4 linked regions of the Arabidopsis thaliana genome follow. The protein of the gene in region 1 interacts with the protein of each later gene in a biochemical or structural test. Each region holds a gene or a part of one and is shown in the gene's direction. Other genes may lie near its edges. The genes, in order: BIN2, BLI, CO and iqd2.

Evidence for each region.
Region 2: the proteins of BIN2 (region 1) and BLI form a complex in vitro, tested with the Arabidopsis thaliana proteins (one study listed by BioGRID).
Region 3: the proteins of BIN2 (region 1) and CO form a complex in vitro, tested with the Arabidopsis thaliana proteins (one study listed by BioGRID).
Region 4: of the proteins of BIN2 (region 1) and iqd2, one has a biochemical effect on the other in vitro, tested with the Arabidopsis thaliana proteins (one study listed by BioGRID).

What each region holds. Positions count from the first base shown.
Region 1 is NC_003075.7:10,294,267-10,299,924, forward strand, and holds BIN2 (Protein kinase superfamily protein), read left to right. Parts: upstream 1-1,871; 5' UTR 1,872-2,207; coding exon 2,208-2,222; intron 2,223-2,259; exon of another isoform or gene 2,260-2,811; coding exon 2,812-2,904; intron 2,905-2,995; coding exon 2,996-3,328; intron 3,329-3,420; coding exon 3,421-3,495; intron 3,496-3,588; coding exon 3,589-3,645; intron 3,646-3,739; coding exon 3,740-3,880; intron 3,881-3,970; coding exon 3,971-4,021; intron 4,022-4,101; coding exon 4,102-4,197; intron 4,198-4,283; coding exon 4,284-4,367; intron 4,368-4,449; coding exon 4,450-4,647; 3' UTR 4,648-5,123; downstream 5,124-5,658. UniProt on the Arabidopsis thaliana protein: Negative regulator in brassinosteroid signal transduction pathway important for plant growth. May be also involved in auxin signaling pathway. Phosphorylates and increases the degradation of BZR1 and BZR2/BES1 by the proteasome.
Region 2 is NC_003074.8:8,662,035-8,669,782, reverse strand, and holds BLI (BLISTER), read left to right. Parts: upstream 1-1,742; 5' UTR 1,743-2,342; coding exon 2,343-2,399; intron 2,400-2,646; coding exon 2,647-3,133; intron 3,134-3,245; coding exon 3,246-3,793; intron 3,794-4,088; coding exon 4,089-4,208; intron 4,209-4,681; coding exon 4,682-4,747; intron 4,748-4,995; coding exon 4,996-5,106; intron 5,107-5,304; coding exon 5,305-5,381; intron 5,382-5,541; coding exon 5,542-5,609; intron 5,610-5,691; coding exon 5,692-5,805; intron 5,806-5,958; coding exon 5,959-6,143; intron 6,144-6,273; coding exon 6,274-6,342; intron 6,343-6,635; coding exon 6,636-6,797; intron 6,798-6,884; coding exon 6,885-6,965; 3' UTR 6,966-7,370; downstream 7,371-7,748. Other genes in the region: HSP60 (heat shock protein 60), read right to left, coding at 83-242, 389-542, 733-770. UniProt on the Arabidopsis thaliana protein: Is required for normal leaf, flower and seed development and controls cotyledon and leaf patterning by inhibiting premature differentiation. Regulates the expression of a subset of PcG target genes.
Region 3 is NC_003076.8:5,169,626-5,174,702, reverse strand, and holds CO (B-box type zinc finger protein with CCT domain-containing protein), read left to right. Parts: upstream 1-1,617; 5' UTR 1,618-2,005; coding exon 2,006-2,767; coding exon of another isoform or gene 2,768-2,908; exon of another isoform or gene 2,909-3,000; coding exon 3,001-3,360; coding exon of another isoform or gene 3,361-3,365; 3' UTR 3,366-3,654; coding exon of another isoform or gene 3,655-3,692; 3' UTR 3,693-3,799; coding exon of another isoform or gene 3,800-3,809; 3' UTR 3,810-4,541; downstream 4,542-5,077. Other genes in the region: AT5G15843 (uncharacterized protein), read right to left, coding at 2,321-2,474, 2,792-2,908, 3,007-3,365, 3,655-3,692, 3,800-3,809. UniProt on the Arabidopsis thaliana protein: Transcription factor that acts in the long day flowering pathway and may mediate between the circadian clock and the control of flowering.
Region 4 is NC_003076.8:709,445-715,054, reverse strand, and holds iqd2 (IQ-domain 2), read left to right. Parts: upstream 1-1,921; 5' UTR 1,922-2,501; intron 2,502-2,636; 5' UTR 2,637-2,648; coding exon 2,649-2,708; intron 2,709-2,785; coding exon 2,786-3,112; intron 3,113-3,264; coding exon 3,265-3,486; intron 3,487-3,771; coding exon 3,772-3,891; intron 3,892-4,018; coding exon 4,019-4,675; 3' UTR 4,676-5,107; downstream 5,108-5,610. UniProt on the Arabidopsis thaliana protein: May be involved in cooperative interactions with calmodulins or calmodulin-like proteins. Recruits calmodulin proteins to microtubules, thus being a potential scaffold in cellular signaling and trafficking.

The sequences.
Region 1 (5,658 bases):
TCGTTCAGGCCTCTGGAAAGAAAATCAATTCTATAATACTTCAATAACTTTTTAGTAAAACTAACTGGATCAACTGATGAATCATATATCAAAAAAACAAAAAAAAAAACTAACGGAGGTAGACAATAGTTTAGCTGGAATGCTTGAAGAAATGGCAAGAATATGCTTCGAGAAGTTATGATTTATGAAGAGGTTACCTGCAAATTTTTTCATTTCTTTTTGCCGACGGTTGGCTGTTAGTTAGGAAAAAGAATTTTTGTTATAGGATTTTCTCTTCCGTTTCGTACAAACCCAATCATTATTCTCGTCTTTATACTTAACTTTGCCTCTCATTTTCATGTTATCAATCTTTTAAATTAAATATATCGTCAATGACTGTTATGAATAATTAGTTCTTCATTCTCTGCCTTGGTTCGAACCTCAGTCACATGGTGCACGTTATTGTGATTTCCCATACCTCAAGAGTTATTCAAGATCCCTTACAGAAATATATTTATATAATCTTTTATCTAATGTAGTTATTTACAAACATGTATTATCTACCAAAATAAAAAGGGCTAAAAGCTTCTTGAGTGAGACCGCTTTTGGTTCGATTCATTTTCCTACACTCCAATAGTATTACACTATTGTATATAACAAGAATCGTGGGATTTGTTTAATCCGTACAATGAAACAAGAAAGATATACAATAACTTAATATCATTTTTTTTTGGGGACAATCTTAATATCATTTCTAATTTCTATAGAACCAAAAACACTCATAACAACTTAAACTTTGTTTTTTGTGAGAAAAATAACAACTTAATTACTAGTTACTACATTGACAATTTAACATCTTCAGCTAAAACCGAATGTATATGAACATTTATAATCTAGTTGCTATTGTATATACGATTGGATAATACGCATATCGACATTTAAATAATTGAGCCTGAAGATAATTCACAAATATGCAATGTAAATCCGTCCATACAGCCAAAAGTATGTATGTCCCATGCATAATTGAACAAAAAGAAATTATATTAATATTATTTTTGTTGTCTTCTGCAAATGCTAGGACTGCTATCATTATCATCATTGATTTTAATATTGATGTTTCCAGAAAAATAAATAAACAAATATAAAGAAAAAAACAAACACAATAAGTAAAGCTACACTATTAGGTAATAATTAAAGCTCATTTTTAAGTCTAAAATTTTAATTATAAAATAAAAACATTAAAAAGTTAAGACCCAAAGAAACATAAATGCTTTTTTCTTTCATCAATGTCAAAAAAGAAGTTTTCCCACCAAATGGTCAAACTTGGATCTTTGACAATATTGTTCCAATTTCATCATGCCCTATCTTTTCTATTTATACACATACCTTAGATATAATTATTAAACCCAAAATTTGTGTTAAGAAAAAAAATAGACCCAAAATTTGTGTTAAGAAAAAAAATAGACCCAAAATTTGGAATATATATATAAGTCACCGCTGGAAAAAAAATTATTGCAAGTAATTTCTTATATGAAATTGGAATGATAATATTTTGATCAAGTATCCATTACTAAAATTTTACAACGCTAGATAACGAGATTGCTTGAAGTCGAACTTGTGAACAAATTATAATAATGTAAAACTAACTTGTATTGACTAATCTTTGATTTTTTTTACAATAATGAGTGATATTACATTCATTTTATTAACTAAATACAACGAATATGATAAATATTCAGTCCTCTTATAAACTTTATGATAGTGAAAATTTGAGACATTGACAATTCTAGCATTCTAACATTTTATGAGATTACATGAAATGTCAATTTAGACCTTAAACCAAACGAATACATGATTCAAATTTGACCGACAAGTACATGATGCCTTCCCTTTGATCACGAAATTTCCACAAAGAGTCCGTGTCTGCGTAATTAACCAGCAATTTCAAGGGTGTTTACGTAATTGTAGCTTAACAAATAAAAAACACGAAAGAAGATGGCGAAGAAAACGGAAAGTAGTAGATAGATAAAGAAAGAGAAAGAGAAGAGCTGGATTCACATGGTCTTGTTCTTTCTCTCTCCTTCTTTTCTCATCTTGCGGCTTCCCTTTCTCTCTCTATCGCCACAATGATCATTACCAACCAAACTGATTGAAACTCATTTGTTCTCTCTCTCTCAAATCCACTCTCTCTCTTTCTTTTCTCTTCTCCTCTCTGTGTCTCTATCGCCATGGCTGATGATAAGGTAAAGCTGCTTGTGTTCCTTTTGCTGTCTTTTGAAGAAGAAGATCCTGTTTTTTGGTTTTTCCACATTTGACCCTTCAATTAGTTGTCTTGAGATTCCTGTTCTTACAGATGTTTTGTGATAATAAATCTAGTTTAGTTAGTACTCTTGAAGTTGAACGGTTTTGAGTTCTGGGTTTGTCCAAAGTTTTGAGCTTTCGTTAACTTTTTGACTTACCCTGAGATCTCTGAGGGTTTTGAGTTCTGAGCTTAGAATTTTCTAAGTTAGCTCTGTTGGGATGATCCATGTCTATATATCTCGATCTGTGATTAATCCAGAGTTTATACAAGCTGCTAGATCCATAATTGAACATAGATTAGTCCTTGTTTGGTTTGTTATATGTATTTGTTTTGTTTACCATTCTTTTGGCGTGACAAAAGTATATATTTTTAGTTTTAACTAAATCAGATTCACTCTGCGTAACGGTTATTTTGTAACCACTCTTTTAGGATAAAAGTTTCCTTCTTTAGACTTTTGATTCTCAGACAAGCATTATTCTTTTAGCTTTTGATAATGGTTTTGTGCTGATATTAAAGCTTTTCTCTTTCAGGAGATGCCTGCTGCTGTAGTTGATGGACATGATCAAGTCACTGGTCATATTATTTCCACCACAATCGGTGGCAAAAATGGTGAACCAAAACAGGTATTTTTAAGGCTTTTAACCAAATAGACTCACTTTTATGTATATGCAAGATTTTGATGGTTACCAATACATTTTTCTATGTTGTTGTTAGACAATTAGTTACATGGCGGAGCGAGTTGTTGGTACAGGCTCGTTCGGGATCGTTTTCCAAGCAAAATGTTTGGAGACTGGAGAAACCGTGGCGATAAAGAAGGTTTTGCAAGATAGAAGATACAAGAACCGAGAACTTCAGTTGATGCGTGTGATGGATCATCCGAATGTGGTTTGTTTGAAGCATTGCTTCTTTTCGACTACAAGTAAAGACGAGCTTTTCTTGAACTTGGTTATGGAGTATGTCCCTGAGAGCTTGTATCGAGTTCTGAAACATTATAGTAGTGCAAACCAAAGAATGCCTCTTGTCTATGTTAAACTTTACATGTATCAGGTAATAACAACACACATTCATATCTTCCATTTCCAAAGTTGATGTACATAAGATTGTTCTTAGGCTGATATTACTTCCTTTTGTTATGTTAGATCTTCCGGGGACTTGCTTACATTCACAATGTTGCTGGAGTTTGTCACAGAGATCTAAAGCCTCAAAATCTTCTGGTATGTGTAACATTTTAAGATTGAACTCTTTGTTTTTTTTCTTGCCTTTGTTTCTTTCGTTCTTAATGTATCTCTTCTGGTCTCTTTCTATAGGTTGATCCTCTTACTCATCAAGTCAAAATCTGTGACTTTGGCAGTGCGAAACAGCTCGTAAGACTTTGTGACATATAAACTCATTCGACTTGTAGCGGTTGTTGTTTTCTGTGATCTTGTCATTTACTGTTGAAATTTACTTTTGCTTCAGGTTAAAGGTGAAGCCAACATTTCTTACATCTGCTCACGATTCTACCGTGCACCCGAGCTCATATTTGGTGCCACTGAGTACACAACTTCTATTGATATCTGGTCTGCTGGTTGTGTTCTTGCTGAGCTTCTTCTTGGTCAGGTAAACAATTCTTTCAGTAACCAGCTTATTCAATCTCCATGTGTATATTTGCATTAGGACTCATTGTGACTATATCATGTTCTTATGCAGCCATTATTTCCCGGAGAAAATGCTGTGGATCAGCTCGTTGAAATTATAAAAGTAAGAATCTTTAAACGATGATTCCTTGCAAATTACATTCTTTGGCTACAAAATCCTCACTGTATAGTTGTTGTACACAGGTTCTTGGTACACCAACTCGAGAAGAAATCCGTTGTATGAATCCACATTACACAGATTTCAGGTTTCCACAGATAAAGGCACATCCCTGGCACAAGGTTAGTGTCTTTTCTCTTTTTGCATGTGTTCTTGTTTCAGTTTCTTTCTTCACACATCAACTGATCATAATTACGTTTTGGTTTAGATCTTCCACAAAAGGATGCCCCCAGAAGCGATTGATTTTGCATCAAGGCTGCTTCAATACTCTCCAAGTCTAAGATGCACAGCGGTAAGCATTGGTCTTGAGGTTTCTTCAGTCTCTAAGAATCCAACTGAATCCTTACTATATATTTTGTTTCCTCGTATTTCAGCTCGAAGCTTGTGCACATCCGTTCTTTGATGAACTCAGAGAACCAAACGCTCGTTTACCAAATGGACGGCCTTTCCCGCCTCTCTTCAACTTCAAACAAGAAGTAGCTGGATCATCACCTGAACTGGTCAACAAGTTGATTCCAGACCATATCAAGAGACAATTGGGTCTAAGCTTCTTGAATCAATCTGGAACTTAAAAGGGATCCTGCAAAAGACAACTACTTTTTTATATATAATGTACCATTACACGAGCCACAAGGTCGTAGTTGAAGGCAAACGTGGAGGACACAATTCAAAGTTTTTCCTCCTCAAACTCGTTCAGACAAAGCCAGCTGCTAGCAAAACCAACTCCCCCAAATCTGCGAAAACAAAAACTCTCCAGTGTTGTATCTGCTTATTTCTCTTCTCTTTTCAAGTTTGGTGAAAAACACAGTCTCCTCTTTGCTTCATTTCTTCTTTCTTTCCCCCTTATGTAAATGAGTTTAGTCAGAAGTTTTTTTATATAGTAAAGTTTGGGCAGAAGGTGAAGAATGTAATCAAAGTGATACTCTTTCAACGAGGAGCTTCTTTCAAACACTTTTTTTTTTTTTCAAACACTTCATGAATGGATACATGGTTTTGCTTTAAGCATAAGTATATTTGTATTAAATTTTCACTCAATTTAATTGCACGAATCATTACAAAAATAATATCTCGCTACTCATATAAATACCCTATAAATAAATAAGTGAATTTTTTTTATCTCTCATGGAAATTTGATTTATGTATTTATATGTTTTAAGATTCGAAGAAATTTTTAAATAATGAAAATTTACAAATATATAATTCTTAATTCAGAATTTCAGATATTGAATTACTTATTGGATTTTTAAAACAAAAAGAAAATTACATGACTTTTTTTTTCTTTTTTTTTTTTAAATATCTGTTAGTTCAAGTTAAAAGACCATACATTTTCTAAAGGCGGGACCTATATCAGGTTAAATTCATCTCCTTTTAGAAAAAAAATATATTTGGGAAAGGCTTTGATAGCAAGCAATTAAAGTATCCGAAACTAACAAAACCTATCTGGTCTTGGACTCTTAGTCTTTATATAAACAACATCAGATAGATCGAGAGACCATACGCAACAATTTACTAATTTCTCTTCTCCTTCGTTGCTTTTGAAACCCTAGTTATTATCGAGAGATCAAACACGTACGTACACAAAA
Region 2 (7,748 bases), on another chromosome or scaffold:
AAGTTAAACAAGCATTGGTACATAGTTTTGCAAAGTTTCTACAACTATGAACCGCATAATCAATCAAAATGAAATATCTTACCATCACCAGCAACATCATTAGTAGCATTTGCAACCTGCTTCACAAGACTAGCACCAACGTTCTTAATTTTGTCTTTGAACTCAATACTTTTGGCAACAGTAACACCATCTTTTGTCACTTTAGGAGCACCCCAACTTTGCTCAATCACAACATTACGTCCCTTCAAAATTAGAATCACATAAAGCAGAAAGTCTTAGACCAAATTCGATACAGAATCAACCGGTCACCCAAATCACATGCTAAGGAAGGAACCTCTGGCCAAATCATGTCCAAATCAAATCAAAATGTGTAGAAGAAAAAGAGTACCTTGGGACCCATGGTGACTTTAACAGCATCAGCAAGATCTTCAACACCCTTAAGCATCAAAGCTCGAGCTTCAACACCAAACTTAATCTCTTTCGCTGCATAGTTCCTGCTCCAGCTCATTCTGCTGGAAACCTGGCGAGCGTTTTGAGCAATCCTGAAGAACAGAGAACAATAAAGACACCATTTTTATTATCAGAACTGGCAATTCAGAATCGGGATTAAGCTAGTAGATTTCGAGAGCCCAGATGAATTTGAAGAGAGTAGATCAAAACCCAAATCGATTTAATTCCTCATTAGCTTCCAATGAGAGTGAATAAAAAACACGAAGAAAGTGAGTTCATTACCTTGCCTTGGAGGCGAGGTTAGAAGCGAAACGATACATGGTGAGTGAGAAGGAAGAGGATTAACGATGAAGAGATGATTCTGATGAGCGAGTTAGATTAGATCAATGGAGAACAGGCGGAGAGAGAGAGAGAGAGAGAAGAAGAGTTGAGAGGGCTTAATAAGCGAAGGAGAAGAGTCTAGAAGCAGCTGCTAGTTACTATATGAGCCTTTTAGGGTTTTAGGCCTCTTTAGGGTTTAACTTTCATTTCAAACTTAAAAATCGTTAATCTCATTTGACGAAAAAAAAAAAAAAAAAAGTCGTTAATCTCATTTTCCAATTTAATTTCTGTAATATTTTTTGCCCCAAAGAAACAGATTTCATTTTTTCATCTTTTGATAACCAGCATTTGTGATTTTGCCATAATATACATGTCAAATTTTATATAGCGTTTAACCAAAAAATAAAATAAAATTATATCGCTTGATCTAAATATCCTTGAATCTAATCAAACTGAACCACACCAAACCAAAGAAAACCAACGGTAATTAAATGGTTCCGGTTGGATTAGGTTTTTGGTTTAGGTTTGCTTCAGCTCTACAAAACAAATCGGTGTTTCGAGTTTTTTAAATTGAATTTGTTCTCTAAAATCAGTGGCAATTTGTGTAATATTTTACCTCAGTAAAAGTTTCTTAAATACGCAAAGATAAAAACTGATAATATGAAATAGAACTCCAAAAGAAATCCAAAATCCAAACAATGCAAACAAAAAAGTGAACCAAACCCCATAATAAACACCTAGATGATACCAAAAGGTTGACCTTGCTTCACTTTTTTTCTTCATTACTTTGCTCTTTTAGTTGTCCTAAAGTAGAGGAATTTGAAGCTTCTATTGATATTAAAATTTGTCAATTTCTCTCTTTAAAAACATGAGTAATTTGGTGGGCTGTCGTCATGTTCCACGGGCCACATGGATGCTCCTATTTATTTTCTTTACCTGTCATATGTGTCCATCACGACTCATTTCTCTCCATTTTTTTTTCTCTTAATTTTCTTACTACCTAAACATTCTCTCTTATTTTTCAAAAAATACAACAGACTATGAACAAATACATTACACACTTCTTATACATTTTTAAAATCAAAAGCTACATGAAATCTAAATTTCACCAAACAAACAATGAGTGAACGTTAAAAAAAAATTGCAACCAAACAAAGAAAAAAAAAAACGAGTAAAAACGTTTAATTCAAAGCAGAGAAGGGGAAAATAAAAAGAAAGGGATCTGTTAAAAAGAGATCTGACGAACAAAATTAATATTTGAACTTCGTCCTCCTCTCCTTCAGATCGAAAACCCTAATTTCGATTTCTTTGTTTGACAATTCCATCGATTTTTGAACTTGTTTTCTCGAGATCTCCATCTGTTTCCTCCACCCCGAAATTTCAACGATATCTTCTCGATCTGTGCGTCAGGATCTGGGCTTTTTGAAATTTGAGTTTTCTCCTCAATCATAACAACGGCGATTTCCGGGAATGGCTTTGGCTAAAACGGATTCAATGGTAATTGAAAAAGCATTGATTTGAAGCAATTGGAGAGGGAACATTTCCCTCTGCGAGATTTCGAGTATTTTTCAATGGCATCAGCTACTAGTTCCCGGAGGCAAGAGGACGTTGAAGCTGGACGCCGTAAGGTAGATCATCATCATCATAATCATCATCTTTTGTTTGATTCTCTCGTTACTTTGAATTTGCCCCTAAAATTTGTCGGTGCTGAGTCAATTGATCATTTTTTTTAGGTGGGTTGTTTATATTGGAATTGAGATTGATGTCCTAACGCATGCAATCAGAATTGAGATTTATTCGACAAAAAGCTTGTTTTTTTTAAAGATGAATGCGTAAAATTGTGTGTTTCTTATCGTTTAATTTCTGGATTTTCAGCTTGAGCAGTTTCGTAAACGAAAAGCAGCAGAAAAAGCTAAAAAGGCATCACAGAATACACAACCTGTTGATAATAGCCAACAAAGTGTCATAGATTCAGATGGAGCTGGTGCATCTATCTCTAATGGACCTCTCAAGCAATCTGCTGAATCTACCTCAAATGAAACCCATACCAAAGATGTATATAATTTATCATTTTCGAATACAGCAATGGATGATGGAAGCAAAGAAAGAAGTAGACAAGATGATGGTCAGGAATCAGTGGGCAAAGTTGATTTTTCTAATAGCTTAGAGTTGATAGGTTCATCGAAGGACTTAACAGTGAATACTAGGCCTGAAGTTGTACCTTATAGCAATATAGACAAGCAATCGAGTGAAAGTTTTGATCGTGCTTCTACTCTAAGAGAAACTGCATCTCTTTTTTCTGGAACCTCAATGCAAATGGATGGTTTCATTCACGGCAGTGGATTAACCTCATCCAGAAAAGGTACGTGGCTATCATATGAGGTTAATGTAGTAATGTATTTTGTCCTAACCCTCCTTCTTTTTTGTTCCTTAAAGGCAACAACCTAATTTATCATTACGGTTTTTGTTGCTAGACTCTCTACAACCTACTACCAGGATGGCAGGGTCTTTTGACGAAGTTGCCAAAAACCAACAGGGAAGTGGTGAACTAGGAGGTAGCATTGTGCAGAAGCCAACTTTGTCAAGCAGTTATTTGTTTAATTCTCCAGACACATCATCTCGACCTTCTGAACCTTCAGATTTCAGTGTGAATATCACAAGCTCTTCACCATTAAACTCAGCTAAGAGTGAAGCAACTGTGAAGAGATCTCGTCCGTCTTTCCTTGATTCCCTCAATATATCAAGAGCTCCAGAGACTCAATATCAACACCCTGAGATACAAGCGGATTTGGTTACATCCAGTGGTTCCCAACTATCTGGCAGTGATGGTTTTGGGCCATCTTATATATCAGGGAGAAGAGACAGTAATGGACCATCATCTTTGACAAGCGGAGCATCTGATTATCCTAATCCATTTGAAAAGTTTCGGAGTTCTTTATATCCTGCTGCCAATGGAGTAATGCCAGGTTTTACTGATTTCTCTATGCCAAAACAAAATGATGATTTTACTGCTCTGGAACAGGTAAGATACTTATTTCTTGCACCATCTTTTATTTTGTTAATGTATTGTCAATTGCTACTTAGTATGGTCTTCTCATTTAGAAGAACTAAGTGGGGAATTGATCTGATGTTATATAAAGACGACCAAATCGTCAAAGATATTGAGTGGATGCCTCTCGCTGGCTGGATCATAATCTTCTTACCTTGTCTTGGATTGCTCTTTGATTTTTCTTTAGGATGTTAGCTAACACTGTTCGTCTTTGTACACCCTTTGTCCTGTGACTTTTCTGAGCTACAGTTTCATTTTTCACTTGCAGCATATTGAGGATTTAACACAAGAAAAGTTTTCACTGCAAAGGGATCTTGATGCTTCACGTGCACTGGCAGAATCCTTAGCATCAGAGAATTCTTCAATGACAGACACTTATAACCAGCAGGTACATGCAAGCTTATGGCATCCTAGCTGAATACTGGCCAACTCTGATTTTTGTACTAGAAAACAATCTTGACCACTTATAGTAGATGACTAATTATTTGCATTTTATCATGCTTAATTATTAGCAAGAGTATACTGTCATGTGGTTTTAGGATCCTTGGGAAATGGAAATATAAGAATATTTATTATTCATGATGTGGATGGATGTGATTTGAGTCTTTCGTTAAAGCGTTATGCTCTTGAATTAAACCATGTTTAGACTTTGTTGCGAAAACACACAGTGTTAGACTATGTGTTTGGAGAAGGTGCTTCAGGATGTCTACCTAGTTGACATTTACTGGGCTTGTCTACTTTTGAGAATGCATGATGTTATATATTGTTTGCTATAAGACATGGTGTCCACTGAGCTTTATAATAGTCACAAATCCTCCCAATGTTTTATGTAATACTTGTTCTCGTTTCTATCTCATACAGAGAGGTCTTGTCAACCAACTAAAAGATGACATGGAGAGGCTATATCAACAGATCCAAGCCCAAATGGTAAGTATTAACTGCCTATACAGTCACCAAATTCCAGTTGTATATGATCGAACAGTATACTTTATTAAAGCATGATATTGCATTTTTCTACATCCCTGTACTATTAGATTGTTTGATGTTTACTTACAAAACTAAAAATTGGAGTATGATTCTGGATGAGTAATTGCATGCCATGTTCTTTCATGCACTGGAGCTATTTCTAGATTACTTTAAAAGCTGTTACTTGATTTAACACTAATTCTGTCCAGGGCGAACTTGAGTCTGTCAGGGTTGAGTATGCAAACGCGCAGCTAGAATGTAATGCTGCTGATGAGCGTTCCCAAATACTGGCTTCTGAAGTCATCAGTTTGGAAGATAAGGTATTTGGCTTTGGATGTTATGTCTTACAATAACATTAAATTTGAAAAAACAACTAACATTTTTGGCTTACTTAGCTGCAAAAGTGTGCAGTGACATGTTTAGTTTAGTTTTTGAATATTTCAGCTGTGAAATATCTGTTTCGTCTACCTTCAGATGCTTACCTGTTTAGCTTGGATTTTTCTTGGAACATATATTAGGCTCTCAGACTCAGATCTAATGAGTTAAAGCTGGAGAGGGAACTGGAGAAGGCACAAACAGAAATGTTATCTTACAAGTAGGCTCTTTACTGTATTCTATTCATGTCCGTAACTTCACCTTTACATGATGTTTGATCCAAAAAGAACCGTGGGATACTGGAAAACTCCCTATGGATTCAGTCTGTAACTTTTATGGCTTTCTGGGTTCTATTTTATCTTACCTATCAACTTCAATAGGAAAAAATTGCAGAGCTTAGAGAAAGATCGTCAAGATTTACAATCTACTATTAAAGCTCTTCAGGAAGGTATGCACATTGAAATCTACTCCTCTAAGGAGTAATGTGATTGAACAATGCATTAGCTTATTTTCTGCATCTACTGTTGCAGAGAAGAAGGTCCTACAAACTATGGTGCAGAAAGCTTCATCTGGTGGAAAATCCACTGATCTGAGTAAAAACTCAACTAGCAGAAAGAACGTGTCAACCTCTACAGAAGGTCTTGGTAATGGTCTTTGCACACTATTTAAGAAATCTGAAGCGTATTTTGGATGTCTAAACTCATACATTTGCATCTTCGGCAAACCTTAGATAAAAAGTTTCAAGTTTAATCTTTGACTTCTAACCAGTCCCCTGACTCTTTGGATTCTTCGTGCAGCAATCTCAGATACTACGCCAGAGAGCTCCAACCAGGAAACAGATTCTACTACTCTGCTCGAAAGTGATTCATCTAATACAGCTATCATTCCTGAAACTAGACAATTAACTCTTGAAGGCTTTTCATTGAGCGTCCCAGCTGATCAGATGAGAGTGATTCATAACATTAATACGCTGATTGCTGAGGTAGTTTTTATGGATGATTGATTTGATGTTTTCTTTAGCTGTGAGAAGCAATACTTTTTAATTCTCAAGGTGCTATCATTTTCTCAATCTGGATAATAACGTGATGATTATTTTGTTTCTTCGGCTGCAGTTGGCAATTGAGAAGGAAGAACTGGTGCAAGCACTGTCATCTGAGTTATCTCGAAGTGCGCATGTGCAGGTACAGTAACATAAATTCATGGGGCTAAAAACATGTCTTCTTTGACTTGAGTAAGAATTTTCTGTCACCATAACATCATGCATAAGTTCTCTGGCTGAGCTTTCTATATGGTACTCCGAGTCCTCATAGACTCAAAATCCAAGGCCTTGTCTTCTTCTTATACTCTTTTTTTTTTCCATGCTGGTCCCTGCGCTCCTTATTTTCTCTGGGTCTTTTATAAGTTACGTTTTACTGTTTGTGTGTTTATTCTGTATCCCCAAATCATTTATATTTCTCATGTTTCATAACCATAGGAGCTGAACAAAGAGTTATCCAGAAAACTTGAAGCGCAGACGCAAAGGTTAGAGCTTGTAACAGCGCAGAAGATGGCCATAGACAATGTTTCACCAGAAAAGCAGCAGCCGGACACTCATGTTGTTCAAGAGAGAACACCGATTGCAGATGAAGGCGATGAGGTACTCTCTCATGTTCTCTGTGTTCAGAGTTTATAAAGTTCAATCTGAGAAAGACCACAGTTTAATGATATCTCTCTCTCTCTTTAGGTGGTAGAAAGGGTTCTAGGATGGATCATGAAGATGTTCCCAGGAGGACCGTCGAAAAGAAGGACAAGCAAGCTTCTCTAATGCATGGATGGCTTGCTCAGTCGTGACCCTTGTTGCCATTCTGTATATCCCGGGCACAGCCATGGATTGCTTCTTCTCCTTTAGTTTTGGAAGAATTCATTTGGTTCTTTTGATCCAAAATTTTGGATTTCATTGGATTGAGCAAAAATGGTATAGTGAGAAACACCATGAACTTGAAGAGTTCCAAATGGATAGAGGAGACTCGGAAGCTTAAACAGAGAGAAAGGTAGTTGTTATATGAGTGCGTTTTTGTCTGAATTTTGTAATTGTTGATTATATAGCCAAGTTAAAGTGTTCCTCCTAGCAAATATAATTTACCAAGAAAAAATCTTGTATGGTTTCGGATATATTTTATCTTCTCGTTTTAAATTGAAGACTTGATCAAACTATGAAATACAAGTGTTAACACTATCGGTTATGTTCAAATACTGTTCATTTCAGTCCGAAGTACAATTAGGTGATTACACACACACAATTTGATCTAAGAGTATATGAGCCATTCAACAAGAGGAACTATCTGGTATCTAATGATAATCTAATCTAATCTAAAATTTAAAACATTTAGAAGCCATTGTGGATTACACTTTATCTTCAGTAACCAATCAGAATTGGGTTAAAACAAACGAGTGGTTGATATAAAAAGATGTATATTAGAGACTTTGAGTTACCATAATCCTATTTTGTTATTCTATAAATATGTGTAATCTTTTGTTTAACCTCATAGTTTCGATAAGATAACCTACTTTGTTCGTTGCCGCCGCCCACCGTAAAAATCTTCATTTG
Region 3 (5,077 bases), on another chromosome or scaffold:
GAGGATATTGTTACATATGATCTATTACTCGTAACAGTTATCCGAAGGCCTACACATGTGAGAGAAGTTCCAAACCGCTACAACAATAAACTTAATTAGAGACTGTCAACGAGCAATAATAAGCAAAACTACTTTTTTCTTGAGCTACAAGTGAAAAGGCCAATACACAATTTACTCTTCATGAACTCGAACCACGTTACAATCTCCAAAAAATTTCATCACCAAAGCACTAAAAGCCAAAGATGCCTCAACTTATCCAACTTGGCAGGATAAAGATCTCCAAAAATGCTTACTAAAGAACCTAGAATCTTTTCTTTAGAATTCAATGATCATATAACCATTTCATAACAATTCTAAATGCCATTACATTCATCGTAAAACCAGTAAATAACAAGAACTTGTATGTTAAGTTCCAATTACCAAGCAAAAAAAAACTTTTCAAAGTTTAAAGTTCAAAATGGGAAAGAGAAGTGCGGTGTAAGCAAATATGAAAGAGGAAGAGATGCGAAAAGTGTATCCTAGGACCAGCATTTTATACAAAAAAAAAACACTCACTTTTCAGCTCTTAAGGCATAGAGTGAAGGTAGCCATATGAATTTGGCCACTAGAGCGTCCGTCAAATCTCATTCTTTTTGGACCACATAATGGGTATCATACATTCACTGGACCCAAAAGCGTAACTGGAGCTAGTCCTCAAACCTAGAGAGTATCGTATCCTGTAGCTTCCACATAGTAAACATTATGAGCATAACACCAACAAGGCAACTCCAAGTACTAATGGTTATTAGTACAGGAAAACCCACGATGCTAAACACATGAATGGGTCACCAAATAGAGTGAAGATGGTTAAATTGCATCTATGGATCATGTGGACTAGTAAATGAGTGTAGCAGAAAACTTCACAATTACCTCTGTGATCTTAGAAACATGTCCTGAAAATTCCATACAAGTGTCGTTTGTATTAGATTACTTCCACAGGTTGAGATCTAATAAAGCTACAATAAATAGTATAGAGTATCATCATAAACCCAAATTACAGAGATGTGACAACACTCATGAGTCATGTTTTGTAACTACTTACTATAATGGTTACCAAGTGCAAATTTCTACATACTATATATGATAAATCTAATTATTGCTCATGTGGACTCCAAAATGCCTTTTAAGTTTTAACTTGTGCGTCAGGTAAATTCTAATTTGTAGTCTCAAGACTACTTGGCGGATTCGAGTTTGATCCTAGAAAATCCACCGTCTCTATGTTTTTCATGTCACTTTTCCGATATGATTCTCATTACCATGACTTTATGAACCAGATTAAACATTATAACACTTTTCATCAGAAAATCCTTCGAAAGTTTCAATTGCAAATCTTTCTAAATGATGCAGATGCATTCACAAATAATGGAACAACAACTATACCATATTCACGAGTTTGTCTAACCTTTGTATAGGTAGTCAACCCATAACAGTTGGTGATGGCTCTGACACTCGAAGCCTTACTCGGAGAGATACCTGAACAGTAATCACAAGGTTCAGGATGAATATTCAACCACTTAAACTTTGTATAAAGCCAAAGAGATAAAACGAATCTAGCTTTACTTTAAATAAAATGCATATGAAAATAGTAAAAGGTGATACGAAAAAATAGTAACAATTTGCCTGCAACACCATGGCATTATCCGGACCACTTCCTCTTGAGAATCTCAGTATGGCAAGTGGCAAAACCTAAGCAACTTGTGAACGGGTCCCAACGAAGAAGTGCATAGGAGGAGATGTTTACACTTTACACTTTACACTTTACACTTTACACATAGGCCTTCCCAAAAGCTCAACTAGCTGCAAGAGGATCCAATAACATGTAAGAGCCACTAACGCTGTGCCACGTGTAGGCACTCAGGATTCGATCTCCCCTCTACTTATTCTCTCACACCAGATATAAGCTTTATTAGCCCCTTCTTTCAGATACCAGCTCCCACACCATCAAACTTACTACATCTGAGTTATTATGTTGAAACAAGAGAGTAACGACATAGGTAGTGGAGAGAACAACAGGGCACGACCCTGTGACACATGCCGGTCAAACGCCTGCACCGTGTATTGCCATGCAGATTCTGCCTACTTGTGCATGAGCTGTGATGCTCAAGTTCACTCTGCCAATCGCGTTGCTTCCCGCCATAAACGTGTCCGGGTCTGCGAGTCATGTGAGCGTGCTCCGGCTGCTTTTTTGTGTGAGGCAGATGATGCCTCTCTATGCACAGCCTGTGATTCAGAGGTTCATTCTGCAAACCCACTTGCTAGACGCCATCAGCGAGTTCCAATTCTACCAATTTCTGGAAACTCTTTCAGCTCCATGACCACTACTCACCACCAAAGCGAGAAAACAATGACCGATCCAGAGAAGAGACTGGTGGTGGATCAAGAGGAAGGTGAAGAAGGTGATAAGGATGCCAAGGAGGTTGCTTCGTGGCTGTTCCCTAATTCAGACAAAAATAACAATAACCAAAACAATGGGTTATTGTTTAGTGATGAGTATCTAAACCTTGTGGATTACAACTCGAGTATGGACTACAAATTCACAGGTGAATACAGTCAACACCAACAAAACTGCAGCGTACCACAGACGAGCTACGGGGGAGATAGAGTTGTTCCGCTTAAACTTGAAGAATCAAGGGGCCACCAGTGCCATAACCAACAGAATTTTCAGTTCAATATCAAATATGGCTCCTCAGGGACTCACTACAACGACAATGGTTCCATTAACCATAACGTAAGGCTTTTGTATATTTGTTACCCCTTCAATTTAGCATCTTCCCATAACGCAGCAGGGTGAATTCTTTCATCATACACACAAATCCACTGATCCACTGCCAACAGTTGATCTATAGCACATAGAAATTTCACCAGAAGTCTATAATAAAAACAATATATGCTTCCTTTTGCATCGACTCTCTTTAGTCCTCTTACCAGGGGGATTGAGAATGTCTTTGTTTCTGTCATTAGGCATACATTTCATCCATGGAAACTGGTGTTGTGCCGGAGTCAACAGCATGTGTCACAACAGCTTCACACCCAAGAACGCCCAAAGGGACAGTAGAGCAACAACCTGACCCTGCAAGCCAGATGATAACAGTAACACAACTCAGTCCAATGGACAGAGAAGCCAGGGTCCTGAGATACAGAGAGAAGAGGAAGACAAGGAAATTTGAGAAGACAATAAGGTATGCTTCGAGGAAGGCATATGCAGAGATAAGACCGCGGGTCAATGGCCGGTTCGCAAAGAGAGAAATCGAAGCCGAGGAGCAAGGGTTCAACACGATGCTAATGTACAACACAGGATATGGGATTGTTCCTTCATTCTGATACTCCTGTGGCAAAAAGAAAAACTAGATTGCAAGCTGTAAATTACTTTTAGTTTGAGATTATGTTAGGTTTGGTGAAATTCTTAGCTTCAAGAAGTATTACTACTGTTGTGCAAATGGGTTTGTAGTTTTGGCTAATTAAAACTATAGTATTCTTCTTTCTCTGCATTAGTTAAACAAAACCAGTCTAATTGGTACAGATCCCCATTTGTGAAATATGGATCATCAAGAAGTGAAAACGCAGATTTCACCTTGCTAACTACTAAGAGGGAAGCCAAGGTTCAAAGCCAATAACTTCCCGATAACCTGAACATGTGACACTTTCACGCCTCCCTGACAACAAAAAGATTCTACAATTCAAGTTGATAACACAGACTCCTCAGCTGTAAATCACAACTTCTTACTAAAATGAGTCATATCACGTTCCTAATTGTAGAAACCATCAGCCATATATGTTCTCGGCTTCAAGAACTGTAAGAAGAAATAAGTAATAACAACCAAGTGTATAGCTTATACTATGTGTTAATGTTAAGTGATGGATTCGAGACCTCACGTGAAAAGTTCATAAAGTGATATAAGGATGCTGCACTTTGCACTTTTTTGCACTTTTCCAAAAATCTAAGGATAGTTCAGATCGATTCTCAAAGCCATCAAATTTTAAAACCATTCCCAAACTTTACATGGTCCCTGGGCCTTCATAGATTCTCACTCTTTTAACTTCTTGCTTACAAAAAAAAAACCATTCTCCTTAATCTGAAGTAGGAAAAAGTCTGCAACTACAGCATGAGTTTGACAGAAAAATTATAACACTCTGCTTTCTAAGGTTCTTATCTTGCTTCAATGACCATATACTAAAATAGCAATTTCCTCCACATAATCCACAAAAAACTTTGGTGTCATGTGAAGAAGGCCTGAGAGTAGTTCCTAACTAACCAATAACCATTACAAAGGAAATCCACAGACTGACTAAGAAGAAGTAAAGACAGAACAAATGAAAAATGCCAAAACAGAACAACACAAGCACAGCTATATCTGAACACGCCTTAAAACACCATTTAATATATAATCATCTCTATACTTACCAGAGAGTCAGAAACCAGTATAAACCCTAACATTTATACAAATCGGAATCAGTCACCATCAAAATATAAACCCTAACATTCATTCAAACTGATTTTCGATAAAGAAACTTACTTTCAACCCGTCACAATAGATTTGGGATGATTTTGGATAAATTTGAGGAAAAATATGCGAAATTCAATAGATTGAATATGCAAGGGTTTAAGGATGTGAAATTCAATAGATTGAAAAAACACAATTTTTTGCTCAATTAGATCCAAATTCATCCCAGATCGATTTTGTCTGACGAGCTGAGATTAAAGGAGTTTACCAGAAAACCCCAAATCGGGATTGTGAAGTGAAAAGCCCTAAATTTTGAGCGACGATCGATCATCAAACTTCGAAATATTCAACAATGACGCACGCAACTGGTCTTGTCTAATACTAACGGGCTGGGCCAAAGGATCTGATATAAGGCCCAATTATTCTTGCGCGATAAACTTCTGTTTCAGGGGACGGCCCAAGTAGTCTTCCGAACTAAGCTTATCTTCTTTCAGGAAGTTTCCTTTTTTGTTGTTGCATGATCATTTTCTATCTTTATCTTATCAAAAGATAATAATCTTATCATTCACGATGAGTTATTCTAAGCATTTCGACAA
Region 4 (5,610 bases), on another chromosome or scaffold:
GGAGTGAATATAGAAAATGACTCATATCTCTAGTTCGATCAAAAACCAGTAACTCTTCATTCTCTTTTGCAATTCTTAAATGTTTTTCTCAGTTCTTGTTTCAACTCAATCTCCCAAAAACTCTCATGCTGAACGTAACCCTATCTTTTAAAAAATATTATTATAAAATTGTTTTCTTATAACTATAAATATTATTTTAAATGTGTATGTTTAACTGAAAAAATAGATGAACTGAAGTAGTAACAAAAGTTGAATAGTGGTGAAATTAAATTCTCTGAGGTGATATAGATGGACATGGACTAATCTATATATGAAGTTGTAAACTGTTAATTCAATTAAATTCACTGGGAAGAAAAAGGTATGGCGTTATCATGGGTTCAGGTTTAGGTGTTAGCCAATATAGGAATCTTCTACCGTTGCTCTGTTACAAAACGACAAGACTTAAATGTCGGGTCGTTACCAAACTCACTGGCTCATCTAAATATCTTTAAAACGCTAACGGCCCTGACCTTATTTCCATGCCCCACTTACATTTCAGATAATGCCAAATGGATTTTTCGGTTCAATTTTGGTTTAGTTATCTTTTTTTTCCCCCGGTTTAATTAACTTATAAATTTCACTTGCTAGAATGCAAAGACCAACTCAAAGTTGACCGACGGGGAGAGAAATTTTCATAATAGCTTATAATTATTTTTTATTTTATTGGCAACGACAAAGTTTGAATTATACATTAGGTGGAATGTCCATATCCCCAATTCAACTACCGACTTTGGATATACAGATACCTATTAATATTATAAGTTATCAGAGGCATATCTTTATATAAACAGTTATACATAGGACTTTGATATGTTGGACATATGATTAGCTAAAATAAATTATCAAATTCCAACGGCTAGTTCTCACTTATTTTATATGAAAATAATTTTAGGGATGTTATACTAACGAAACAGAGAAGACGCCACATGGAGTGATTGGACATATATATGCTTTTTTTTTTTTTTTTTTTTTTTCTTAACCACAAAAATTACAGGAAGACTGGTACAAGCTGGCCACCGATAAGGAACCTTTTGGGTTTATCTCCGAAAAAAGTCAATGATTTCAGGCAGATAATACTTAATCCAGTGGACAAAAATTATATACTCTTTCAATCATCGTTCTAGTTCACTGTATGTCAATCCATATAATTTGGGAAATTGCTTTTGTGGTGGATATACACGATCATAGAGCAAAATACAGTCTGCTAATAGCTGTTGCATAAAACGAGTTTTTCCAAAGCATTATTTATGGTTTGTGTCACTAGGTATTATGAGTCAAATATTTTCTTTGTTCATCCATCGGAGATTAACTTAGTAGTGTGGGTGGATCTGAACATAAAATATGATATGGTGTACAAGTACAATGACCAACTAATTTTCATGATTTATCAAATCCAGAAAGTATTAAGTATCGTATATGGTGGCTTGTTAACGAGTATATTTTAAAATGATAAAGGCTGTCTCACTGGTGGACATATTTTGTTCACATGTTTTGTCGGTTGTAGTAATGTAAGCGTGTATTAAAACACACATACTTTATACGGATTATGCAGATGAATTAATTCGATAAACAATTGGTATTTGACGACAAAAAATACGATCTTAAATCTTAATTCGATTAATAACAGATATTTAACGGCAAAAATATAGTGTTATATTTTAACCCGCCTAAAGACAAAAATTAAAGACGAATAAAAACTTTTTATTGCAACAATTTTGTTTTATTAGGTGAAATTAAAGACCAATCTTACCGGATAAAGTTATAAATTAATTTAAAATTTATATGGTCACTGTTTTATCGATCCTCATAACTTGTTCATTAAATTATCTAGTTTCAAAAAAGGTACAAAATCCAATACATTTTCCAGTTTACACGTTATCCATATTTTAAGAAAATTTCAAACATTTTTAGAGAAAACACCAATATACCATGTCAACTATGTATACTATTTTTGAAATGCACCAAATAATAATAAATCTAAAGATACTATACTATAAAAAGAAAAATTAACAAAACAGTGTTTATGAAACTTAAGAAATAAAACTCATCACTAAAAAAAAAAAGTGAAAAGAATAGAGTAAAAGAGAGACGAAGTTGGTAAATTAAGAAGAAGAAAAGGAAAAAAAGAAGAGTAGAATGGGGCCCACAAAAGAGGCCCAATTAAGTGGCATCACGCACAAACACACACCGTCACAAATACTCTTCTTCACACAGCTTTGAATCCATCTGTCTTCTCCTCTCTCTCTCTTCTCCATTTGCAATTATGATAATGTGAAAGCAATTCGAAGAAGAAAAGTTATCTTCGCACCTCAGCAAAGATCCAATCGATTCGATTCTTAAGCTTTTTCGTCTTCTCCGATAAGGTCACTACTTAGAAGCCGCGTTGTGGTTTAGTTGACTCCTCCAGGTTTTATCTTCAAGCTTTTTCGTCTATCAGATCTGGTGTCACTGTCTTCTCATAGGTACGATTCATTCTCTCCCTGATTCAGTATCAATTGGTGAATTTTAGCTCTAGATTTCGAGATCTGTCGTAATTTAGCTACTGAGATCAGTAGATTCAGTTTCCTTGTGGAATAATTTGTTTCTTCTCTGTGAAGGATTACATAGAGATGGGGAAAAAAGCTAAATGGTTTTCAAGTGTTAAGAAAGCATTCAGCCCAGATTCAAAGGTGAAGTTTTTTTTTTTGTATATTGATGTGACTTAATGTTATAGTCTGTATATATTGACATGTTGATGTGTTTTCAGAAGTCGAAGCAAAAATTGGCTGAGGGACAAAATGGTGTTATCTCTAATCCTCCTGTTGTGGATAATGTTAGACAATCTTCTTCTTCTCCTCCTCCTGCTCTTGCTCCTCGTGAAGTGAGAGTAGCTGAAGTGATTGTTGAACGGAACAGGGATCTTTCACCTCCTTCTACAGCAGATGCTGTGAATGTTACAGCTACTGATGTTCCTGTAGTTCCATCTTCATCTGCTCCTGGTGTTGTTCGTCGCGCTACACCTACTCGATTTGCTGGAAAGTCAAACGAAGAAGCCGCTGCTATCTTGATCCAGACTATATTTAGAGGTTATTTGGTATGTAATTCTACTCTTGCAATTGGCTTTATTATCTGCAGAAACTTAATTCCTTCGGAATTTCGTATGAGTTTGACCGAGGCACTTGATTTTGTGTGAAGGAAGCTGCTTTGTTGAGTATAATCTTATTTTGTGTAATATCTGAAATACAGGCAAGGAGAGCGTTGCGGGCAATGAGGGGTTTGGTCAGACTTAAGTTATTGATGGAAGGATCTGTTGTTAAGCGGCAAGCTGCAAATACTCTAAAATGTATGCAGACTCTCTCTCGTGTACAGTCGCAGATCCGAGCTAGGAGAATCAGGATGTCAGAAGAGAATCAGGCTCGCCAGAAACAACTCCTTCAGAAACATGCTAAAGAGCTAGCTGGCTTGAAGGTCTGTCTCTCATATTCATCTGATTCAGTTTTTTTCTTGTTATTCAAAGTTTCTTCCGTTGTTTTTGGTGAGAGGATTGCTAAGAAGTAAGAACTGTTGATTTCTTCCTAGCAGTTGCTATTATGTTTCTGCTTATTAGTCTGGAAAGGGTTAATAGTAGCATTACCATTCATATCAAATAGATGTTTACTTACACTATCAATTTACTGTCTCTTTTTTTATCTGAAAATGGAATCTTTGGGCCTTTGCTTATAAAAGTACTATTTTTCCTGTTGCTGCTCACAGAACGGGGATAACTGGAATGATAGCATTCAATCAAAGGAGAAAGTTGAAGCGAATTTGCTAAGCAAGTACGAGGCAACAATGAGAAGGGAAAGGGCATTGGCTTATTCATACTCTCATCAGGTACTCCAGTCGTTACCTATAATGCTGAATGTGTGGAAAGATACAATTAAAAAGTGAACACATCCATTGAAGTTGAATCTGTGGTTCATTTGAATGTTGTAATGATCCTATATGTTCATGTTTGCAGCAAAACTGGAAGAACAACTCTAAATCTGGAAACCCGATGTTCATGGATCCAAGCAACCCGACATGGGGTTGGAGCTGGTTAGAGAGATGGATGGCTGGTAGGCCACTAGAGAGTTCCGAGAAAGAACAAAGCAACAGCAACAATGACAATGCTGCCTCGGTCAAGGGCTCTATTAACCGCAACGAAGCTGCAAAATCTCTAACCCGCAATGGCTCAACTCAACCAAACACACCATCATCCGCAAGAGGGACCCCAAGAAACAAAAACAGTTTCTTCTCACCTCCAACTCCCTCAAGGCTAAACCAATCCTCGAGGAAATCCAATGACGACGACTCCAAAAGCACAATCTCGGTCCTGTCCGAGAGGAACCGCAGACACAGCATTGCTGGTTCATCAGTCAGAGACGATGAGAGCCTCGCTGGCTCACCAGCTCTCCCGAGCTACATGGTTCCAACTAAATCAGCTCGAGCCAGGCTCAAGCCCCAAAGCCCATTAGGTGGTACCACACAGGAAAACGAAGGGTTCACAGACAAGGCATCAGCTAAGAAACGGCTCTCGTATCCAACTTCGCCTGCATTGCCTAAACCACGGCGGTTCTCAGCTCCCCCTAAGGTGGAGAGTGGCGGCGTTACCGTGACCAACGGAGCAGGCAGCTGAGGTATTTTATTTAATATAATTATTTTCCCACTTATGAATGTGTCCGAGATTGTTGTCTCTTATGTGTTCCCTTCATTTCGTAATTCATTTGTGCAGTGTAAGCGCCAGTCATTTATTTTTTTACTATAATAAATTTTATAACCTTTTAAAATTCATGTTCTTTTGTTTCTTTGAATATTTAAGTTATTTTTATTAATGTTGGATGAATTGGAATATGATGATGTTATTTGTATTGTAATGCAGATCCTTTAAAGCTTAATTAATTTGTAATACCTTTTATTTGTAGTCGTAAATATCTTATTCTACGTTAGGTTGTGCTTGTATGTACTATGAACTATGAATATCTGTGCTTGTATGTTTTTCCTTCAAAAAATATTCATATCTTTTTTACTTGTAATCGCAAACATAATCCTGTCAAAGAATCTTTGAAGATTCCCTTTTTTTATTTACTTGGCGAGAAATCAAACATTCTCTGGAAGATTAGGTATAGTACTTTGCCTTGGCGGCGATATGAAAGGAACAAAACTGTATACCAAACCCTCCGGTAGAGGAAGAGGGGTTTTGACCTTTTCTTACAAAAATGGTCGGTTTTGACTTACTTAACCGACAAATTTGTTGAACCGACAAATTTGTTGAACCGACAGTATTAAATAGAAAAGAAGAAGGAAGTTCTCTTCAAACCGACCTCCTGCCCACGCAAAAAAAAAACAAAAAAAAAGCAGCAGCGAATTTTTATTTCTCTCCTCCCAGAACCCTAAACCCATTCCCCAATTCGATCGAGAAACTCGACAATCGAAGAATTTATCAGGAAATTTTGTTTTTTTTATTCCGATTGAGTTTTCTCCGAACAACTACTTAGCTGAATAATGGTAAGTTTTTTTGGTCTGATCTTGTTTCCGTTTAAGCTGGATTAATCTATTTCTCTCTCTCGCTCT